Linked DNA regions of Coturnix japonica. The protein of the gene in region 1 purifies or fractionates together with the protein of each later gene. This does not show direct contact. Links are inferred from orthologs where the notes say so. Each region holds a gene or a part of one and is shown on either strand. Other genes may lie near its edges.

Region 1 (4,350 bases):
GCGGGGCTGCCACATGGCCACAAGAATTCAGGACAGCACACATTAGATACAACCAGAGTGCAATTGCTCAAGACAAGAATTAGCCCCAAAGCAGTTTCCTACCTGACATGCTCCACAGCTAGCGCCGTCTGATCAAACTCCCCCGACTCATCATACACAACCCACAGCTCCTGCAGTGATATCCGACGCTCCTTCAGCTCCAAGAGTTCCTGCATGCATTCCAGTGTAAAGGTGCTAACCTGTGACTCGAATAGGAAAGGCTCACAGAGCTGCACAACTGCCTTCAGAGCTGAGAACTCCACATCAACAACCTGTTAGAATGAACAGCCCTTAGAATTTCTGCACACAGAATCATAGATACAGCTGAGGAAGGCGAGCATGATGTGCACAACCCAGCAGACCTCGCTAAGTGCCAGCTGACACACGGTACATATTACAACAAAGGCAATCTGGTCAAAATGATCATCCTAGAAATAAACTCCTAAAAAAACAAAAATTTGGAGTCATCTCTTTGACATTCAAAACTAGGCTCAAATCCTCCAACAACAACAAGAGCTATAGTTACTATCAAAGTCAATTAGACAGAAAAATGTTAATGATAAGAAGAACTTAGAAGTGACCACAGCCTGGTATTTGTAAAGACTGTACCTCAGTAGCCAGCTCTGGACAATGCACTTATTCCTTCTGTGCCCACCAGGCTTAACCTCACAGCACACCCATGCTGACTTGGACTCCTCCTCCTCATTTCAAGGATCCCTGTGAGAATGTTGCTTCCTTTCAAGCACAGTTCTCCCAGGAAACATTCAGACACTTGAGAGGATCTCTGAAACTTGGGTGTGTTTTTGCTACAGTCTTCACACAGGGGCGTTACACAGGCTCTATATTGCCACTCTGGGGTTTAATATCATTTACCCAGCTCTTGAAAAGCTCAAGAAAAGGTAATTGATTATTCTCTGCTCTAGCACACAGATGACATAAATGCTGTACAAACATTTTGGTTTAGCACCAATAAACTTATCCTACAAATAGCAATCATGCTCTATATGCTCTGCTAAGAATTCAAAGTCCAGAAAACCTTTGTGGAACTAGGTGCAGCTTATTCTCAAGATACCAACACCAGTTTATTCACAATTGTATCTCAAAGAAAACGAAATTCAACTGTCCCACTGAAATGCTGTAGTTTAAAAGCAGAAGTAAACTTTAAGTAGTAGACAGCTAAATTCCAGGGTTAAATTATGTGATAAAGCAAAAAAATAGAAAGCCTACCTAGTGCTTAATTTATTGGAGTTGTGATGTGCTGTAGCCCTGAAGAGCTTATTCTGAGCAGCAGTGCCTCACTGCCATAACAGTCCCTCATGCAAATATCAGACCACAGGTTCCAACCTCATGCTTTTAGGCAAAAAAAGCACAACCAGTGTACAAAAATAGTGTTAAGTACTCTTTTGAAAGAAATTCCTATTGCTTTACTCCTCAATGGAAATTACATAGAAAAAACATATTAATTTCTAGCAGTTCATAAACCTCATAGATAAGTGATCTGCCCGTTATAGAGGCAAACAGTGTTGGTGGGAGGCAAATTGAGCCTGAACAACCACATCCCATTTACCTCAACGAGGACCTCAAACACGTCAGTGCGCCAAACAGCCTGCCATCCCGACCGCTCTAGGACCTTCTCCAGGTACTCAGCTGTGAATTCTTTCACCTCAGAAGCTTTGCAGTCAGCTAGAATAAAATGGAAGGCACTACATTTATGCAAGAAAGGAATGAGAAGCCATCAGCAGAAAATGAAAAGAATCAAAGGTTTCAGTGGCAGCGCTGCTGGGTCTGTGCCATATCTCAAGGAGTCTCATTACATACAGGAAGGTTCTAATAACACCAGGTAAAACCAAGCACAGAGCCCAGCATTAGCACTTCTTCCATTCAGATATTCACATCTTATTTACCCACGTTAAAGCTGTTACCTCCTGGGCCCATCAGCCTGATCAGATGAGGTGACAGCGTGACAGCCCAGCAGTGATGACTTACATACACCATGTACGTTCCAGTCCTTGCTATTAAGAGTGCTTCAGATGCAACCGACTCCACTTAGAGCAAAAGCCTTAAGAAACACAGCCACGTATTCTTTCCCTGCTAAAACCACTTACCCAAAATGTAATCCTGGTAAGCTTTAAATCGCTCATAAAACAAAAGATGATCGGTGCAAAAAGTATCAGGGAAAAGCACGTTCCCATCTGGTACCGCCCTGCTCAGGGCACTGCCCGGCTTGTCCCGGCTCCCATAATCGCTGCAGGTGTCCTCATCCTCCTGGGTGGGAGCTGTGGGAGGAGTGGGAACAAAGCACAGCCCACAGGTCGTCACATCCATACAATCACTGCTCTTCTATTCCCAAACAACTCCTGTCCGGCCCGAAATCCATCACACTCCTGCTTTCCATAACACATCTCACAGCGTGCCACAAAAACGCTGCAATTCATAAAGTCGTAATTATGAAGCGACTTTAACCATCGAATACTACTCGAGAAGCACAACCAGAGGTGCCCGGAATGCCGTGCCAGCGCCACACAGCACCTCAAATCCCAATTCCTTCCCGCACAGCCACGTTCTGTAGCTGCAGTAGCCGCAGCTCCGCGGTTCGCAGTGGGTGCGGGCCCTACCTGGCTTCGGCTCCTCGGCGCAATTCCGCGGCACAGCGGCGCTCCCGCACAGCAGCCCCCGCCCGGTCACACCGGCCATATCGCCCATATTGGCCATACTGCCCATATTGGCCATATCGCCCATACAGTCCATACCGGCCATACTCCTCTCTGCCTCCCGCACAAATTCAAACTGGCCGCGGTGCCGCCCCGCACGTCACGGGCATTGCCCGCCTCCATTGGCTGCCGGGCGGTCGGGCCGTTGCGCTGTGGGGCGGTCCCAGGTTCTGGGCCCATTGGGAGGAACCGGGGCTGAGGAACCGTAGCGCTTGGACACAGCACGAGGCGGATGGGTTGTTTTTTAAGCCACAATTGCTTTAAAACACGAACAACCACAAGAGGGCCGCCTTAGACCTCAAACATCATCGTTAACCTGCTCATCATTAACCAAATGTCAGCCTTCAAACTTAAAATACAAGAAGTATTGAGAGATCAAACTGTATTATTACATGAAATAGAAAACAAAAAGTGAGTTGCTATAAGGCCAGTCATTCTGAAAGTGTCTATCAGGGATGTGTGGAGTAAGTGGTTGAGACGAGCCAGCACATTCACACTGATAGGAAAGAAACAATAAAAAAGGCACAAAAGTGAAAAATATCTGCCTCAGGTACCATTCTTTGCAGTGAGAAGCCTGCATCCATCTCTGCTCTTGACACAAATTCCTTCTGTTACCATGGCAATAATTTAATCTCCTTAGGCTCCCATTTGTCCATCATAAAATGTAGACAGTATTTTTTTACTGCATGTGAATGATTAACTCATTTGTAAACCACTCTGATATCGTGCCGTGTAACTGCAGGCTGCTGTTAATTATTTGGGTTATTAGCAATAAAGTATGTTCTTTGACAGGTATTTCATCATTGCAAGCCTAAAGAAATCGAATCTAACCAGAAAAACAATTGAACTTGTGCAAACCTTTATAGCTTCATTGTTTCATCCCCACATCAAGTCAAATCCAATTGATGGGCTTTTTTAAAGAACTACTTTGGAGCTTCACATATGAGCTCTCTCTTCATCCAAATGTCTGTATCTATCAAAGATGGAGCCATATCACTGTAACCAACATACCTCTGAAAGTCAGAAAAATCAGATCTTGAAATCATTTGCTTCCATTACTGCTTGACTCCATTAGCAGAGGATGCTTTCTGAAGTGCTTTTTCTACTCTAATTTAAGCAGTTTTCAGGATACCCTCAACACTGGCTTCTTCAGAAATGTGCCTCGTGGACCTCAAATTGGTCCAACAAACACCTTATTTCTTATAACTACAATAACAGCATTACAGATACGGATTGTTGTGTTTATGGCACCTCTTCTCACAATCCACCTGAGGAGATTCAAGATTTATGCTGCATTGTCTGCTGCGTATTGACTTTCCCTTAACCACAAACATGCCTGACATTGCATCACAATTGCTGCAGATGCAGAACACAACAAATCATTGGGCACAATCATAGCGGGAAGAGGGCAGCTTGAAAAGAATGCAAATTGCTTGCAGCGTTTATTTTGTGCAATCATTGCACCTCCTCATTCACTGCAAACAAAGCAAAATAAAATGCAAAATGCAGATGCAAAGGAATGCAGCTGTTGGTGATGGGATATTATGTTGTTGTGATCAACTCTTCATTTCAGTTCAGACTTTGAACATGGCTGTTTAGA
Region 2 (4,317 bases), on another chromosome or scaffold:
TACCCTAGTGCATTCCGTGCTCCAGACAACATGCACTACAAATCAGAGGCAGCAGCTTAAGTGGTGGAGCATAGGAAATTACAATGACAGGACACCCTCCAGCCTGCTAAGCACTGATTTAGGACAACAAGCTGACACCTACCACTCTTTCTCTGGCTTCTCAGGCTGTAGGGCACAGTCTGAATGGTAGAGATGGCTTCAATAGGACCACCATCACTGGGAACCATGAAAGTCGTCTTTGCCACTATGGATTCATTTCCCTGTAGCAAGAAGTGTGTTGTTGGTGACAGCAATGCTGACAGGACAAGGATTTAAGTCTGTTGGCCCTGGAAGCAGGTGTGCACTGTGGCCAACTGCTTTAAACACACACACAGCCAGCTGGGATCACTATACCTGGTCTGCTGTGGAGCCAATTGATCTGATTTTCTTCTCAGGAGCTGGTGGGCCTTCAGCATGCTGCCTGGAAGAGCGCTGAAAAGACACAGTATTTTAGTCTAAAAGGCAGGTAATACTATTAACTTAGTGATGTATTTTAACCACTCTCTTGCAGACTCAAGTTCATAACAAGATACCTGAAACTCCACTCATTATGCCCTGTGGAAAAACAGTATCAGAAATAACTTTCACACCAAATCTACACAGCAAGTCTGAATCACATCCATCAAGGTTTTGTGACTAGCACCTACCCATCACAGGTGACACCAGTTAATGCTAACAACAGTATCTATGTGAAGGGAAAGAATTGAACATACCCTCTTCTCTCTCCTCTTCAGTCTGACAGTTTTCACTGCAGAGGAATCCCAGTCCTGTGGAAAACATGCAGCACTGGTTAGCTCAGCGTAAACACCACACCACCTCTGGTCCACACCTCCATTACGTTTTACCCAATAGCACAGCAGAGATATGCAGATCAGCTCTACCAATTTAATACCACAGTAATCTAAACACAAGAGGTCTCTAGAGATTACCCCGCAGGTTTAAGATTTCATAGTTTAGAACTTGGAATTACATTACCAGTGAATCATCAGTCTTGTCAAAGCTGATGTCTGACAGAATTGAGCCAGATTCATCTATTGTAGACAGTCTAAAAACCAAGAATTAGAAGAAGCATGCATCAGTTTGGCTTTCAGGCAGCTGTGGTCCCAAAGCAACCTTAGGCAAAAGAGCTCTATTTCAAACTGGAATAAAAGTAAAACTGTTGATATGGATGCAACATGTATCTCAGACACACGCAGGCAGACCAGTAGCTGTCACTTATGCTGTTCAGACAAAACCATTCTGCCTACCTCTTGTTGCCTGAACCTCCTACAGAAACCTGTGGTTTGTTAAGGAAGGCAAGGGCAGACTTCTGTTCTTCACTTAGCTGAATGCTCCCAGATGCATCACACATGAGCAGCTCTCGAATCAGTTGTATTTGCCTCTCCTGAAAAGAAAGATAATATCAGAAGCCGTTTAATTACATGAACCAATCTCAGGTATTTGAGATACCACACAGATAGGCTCTCACAAATTGCTAAGAGCAAGTCCAGCACTCAAGCTGCTGATATCTGCAAAGCCCAGGCTCTGAAACAGCAGCCCTTCGCCTTCCAGACAAAAGCAGAAGGCCATTACAAGGAGCCAGATCAACCCATCACTGACTTGTTTTTATTCCCCCTATTGTTTCCACACCCCCCCCCCCCCGGTTAATTGCAGTTTAACCACCTTCTCTCCACATCAACTAGAGCTAACCAGTAATAAAAGAAACACTCACCAGCCTGTCACAGTCTGCTTCAGCTTTTTGCCTGCGTTTGATCTCTACATCCACTTGATTGCGCGCATGTTTCAGCTTCACGTCCAAAGCACTACGTTCAGCTTCACTTTTCATCAGCAGGTCTTTGTATCTTCCAAGCTCCTGCTCAGTTTTCTGCCACTTCCTTCGATAGTCTTCAAAGTTCTTCGCCAGCTGAATAAATTCTGGAGAAAAGATACATCACTCAGATTAAGAGAGGAGATGCAACAGCTCTCCTATAATTGAGGGCAGACTTCTAATAATTAATTAATTAAAATCTCTATTAATTGAAACATGGAGAAGCTGGCCTTGCAGCAAACCCCACTACACTCTGGATGTTCCCAAGATGTCACCACCTTTGCAGACCAAGTCTCAGCAGCAGCATCAAGCAGCAGATACCTCATGTGAGACCCTGACAAAGGCAACTTGCTTTCACCCTATGACTCCCTATTTCTCAACAACAGGAAAAAGAAACAACCTTCAAATCTGGCTGCCTGGAAGAGTGTTATTACTCAAGACCTCATCAACAGATCCTTCAATAACAGCTAGCAATGCTTGCTGCAAGAATATAAACACACAGATGCTGCTTGATGTCTCAAAACTTACGGCATTCATTCCCCTCGCTTAAAACTTCAGCCTGGCGTATGAGTTGGTCACACAAATTCCACAGGTTCCTCATTGTGGTATCCATCCTCCTGCCAAGAAAACAGAACTAAATCAACACCTCCAAATGAAAAATGCATTACCAGCCCCAAAAAAGAGAGAATTTGCTTCAGAATTCTCTTTTCTTTAGGCAAGATGTAGCAGCTGCACACACACAAAAAAAAGATGTTAGGCTTTATGAAGAGATGTGCATCTAAATTCTTAGGGGGCAAAGGCACTCAGCCCTCCAGAATTTAGTATTAGAGCAGCACAGCTTCCCAAACAGCCTCCAGTTTACTACAGAGGAGGGATCACAAACCATTTTCCTTCTGCCAGGCTGCAGGACGTGGCTCGGGCCCACTCCGGTGCTATATAGGCCACCAGAAATCTGTAAGCATTCAGAGCAACACGAGGTAAAAATAGAAGCAGCATTCAGGGGGAATTTCAATGCCGTTTTATATTTAGCTCCACTTTAAGTTACAGCTCCTGCTGCAAACGGCCTTGGAAATGCAGGCAGTCAGCACAAATCCCTCAAACAGCGAAAACAACGGCATAAACAGGAGCAGCCAAGAGGAAAGCCTCGAGCTCAGCAGCACAGAACGCAGTTCTTTAATACAGAAGGGGGCACTCAGGACAGGCTTGGTTAATGAATGAGCTCCAGGTGAAGGGGCGGCTGTGAAGGATGGCTGGGAGTGGCACCAGGAGGGGCACAACGCCCTGTTACAATGCTTGGTTATAACCCCACACACATTGGGGTTTTCTGCATGGAAAAGCAAAGCTCTGAGGACACTCCATAGCCCTGTGTCTCACTCCCCAGCACCTCAATACACCCACAGCTCCATATGGAGCCCTCACAGCCTCTTCATAGGGCACAACGGGTGGGACAGCCCTGAGGTAACAGGCCTCGGGCCTGCCCTGAGGTAACAGGCCTCGGGCCTGCCCTGAGGTAACAGGCCTCGGGCCTGCCCTGAGGTAACAGGCCTCGGGCCTACCCCGCGCCACACACACCGGGAGGCTGCCCGGCAATAGGGCCCCACCGAGCCTCCTCAGCTCAAGATCAGGGCCCTGCAGACCACCTCCCTCAGCCCAGGACCCTGCTGATGCCCCCCAATCCCATATCGAAGCCCCTTAGACCCCTCCCCAACCCGGCTTCCCCCCGCGCACTCACCCGCTCCGAGCTCCCACTCCAACAGCCGGCTTCAACTGCCCCGCGATTCGGTTTGAATCCCTGCCGCCGGCCAATCACAGGGCGCTCTCCACCCTTCTGGTTTCTGATTGGTTCTGCTCGCCGTGTGTCTGAAGCCAAATTGGCGCCATGTCTGCTAAGGGCAAAGCTTTTTCCCTTCCTCTGATTTCCGGGTTTGACAGATGGTGAAGTCGGCTAGGCGCCATGTTTACTATTGGCAGTTGCTTCCAGCCCTTGTTGCTTAGCAACAGAGCAGGCAGGGATGGCGGTGGGGCCTGGACCCCCAACCCAAGGGCTGCTCCTTCTGCATTAACCCTGAACGCAGCCATTGGCAGCACAGGGGTATTTTGGGGGAAGAAATGCTATTCTCAGGCCAAGCCCTGGCTGTAACTGTGCTAAACCAATGACACAAAGCATGGCAGGGTTCCGAGTCCCCTGTGCATTGGTGACATCAGGCATTCAATGTGCCCCAAAGCTATTTCAGATAACAAAAGCTTTCCAGAAGGCCTTTGGTTCAGTGTTGTCCCTTGAGAAGAATGATGCCGTGGCCTTTTGTCTTCTATTTGAGCCAACAGACCCACAAGCCAAAAGGCAAAGCCTCATTTCATTCCTCCTCCCATTTGCAAGCCTTTAATACAACTAAAAACACAAACCAAAACCCAACGATTTACAAGAAAGCGGAATCACGCAATGGCAATAAAACAGCAATGCACTTTAATCT

What was found. The genes of interacting proteins can lie anywhere in the genome.
Region 2: the proteins of SHCBP1 (region 1) and RACGAP1 purify together in Homo sapiens (affinity purification with mass spectrometry; 8 studies listed by BioGRID and IntAct, counting the BioPlex papers as one, with this or other methods). This does not show direct contact. The link is inferred for Coturnix japonica from reciprocal best matches to the Homo sapiens genes SHCBP1 and RACGAP1.

Annotation. Positions count from the first base shown.
Region 1 is NC_029526.1:6,660,429-6,664,778, reverse strand, and holds the start of SHCBP1 (SHC SH2 domain-binding protein 1), read right to left. Parts: upstream 2,862-4,350; 5' UTR 2,797-2,861; coding exon 2,655-2,796; intron 2,316-2,654; coding exon 2,145-2,315; intron 1,723-2,144; coding exon 1,607-1,722; intron 312-1,606; coding exon 103-311; intron 1-102. UniProt on the Homo sapiens protein: May play a role in signaling pathways governing cellular proliferation, cell growth and differentiation. May be a component of a novel signaling pathway downstream of Shc. Acts as a positive regulator of FGF signaling in neural progenitor cells.
Region 2 is NC_029544.1:383,507-387,823, reverse strand, and holds the start of RACGAP1 (rac GTPase-activating protein 1), read right to left. Parts: upstream 2,826-4,317; 5' UTR 2,730-2,825; intron 2,464-2,729; 5' UTR 2,460-2,463; coding exon 2,375-2,459; intron 1,954-2,374; coding exon 1,751-1,953; intron 1,424-1,750; coding exon 1,287-1,423; intron 1,085-1,286; coding exon 1,015-1,084; intron 807-1,014; coding exon 753-806; intron 472-752; coding exon 394-471; intron 261-393; coding exon 143-260; intron 1-142.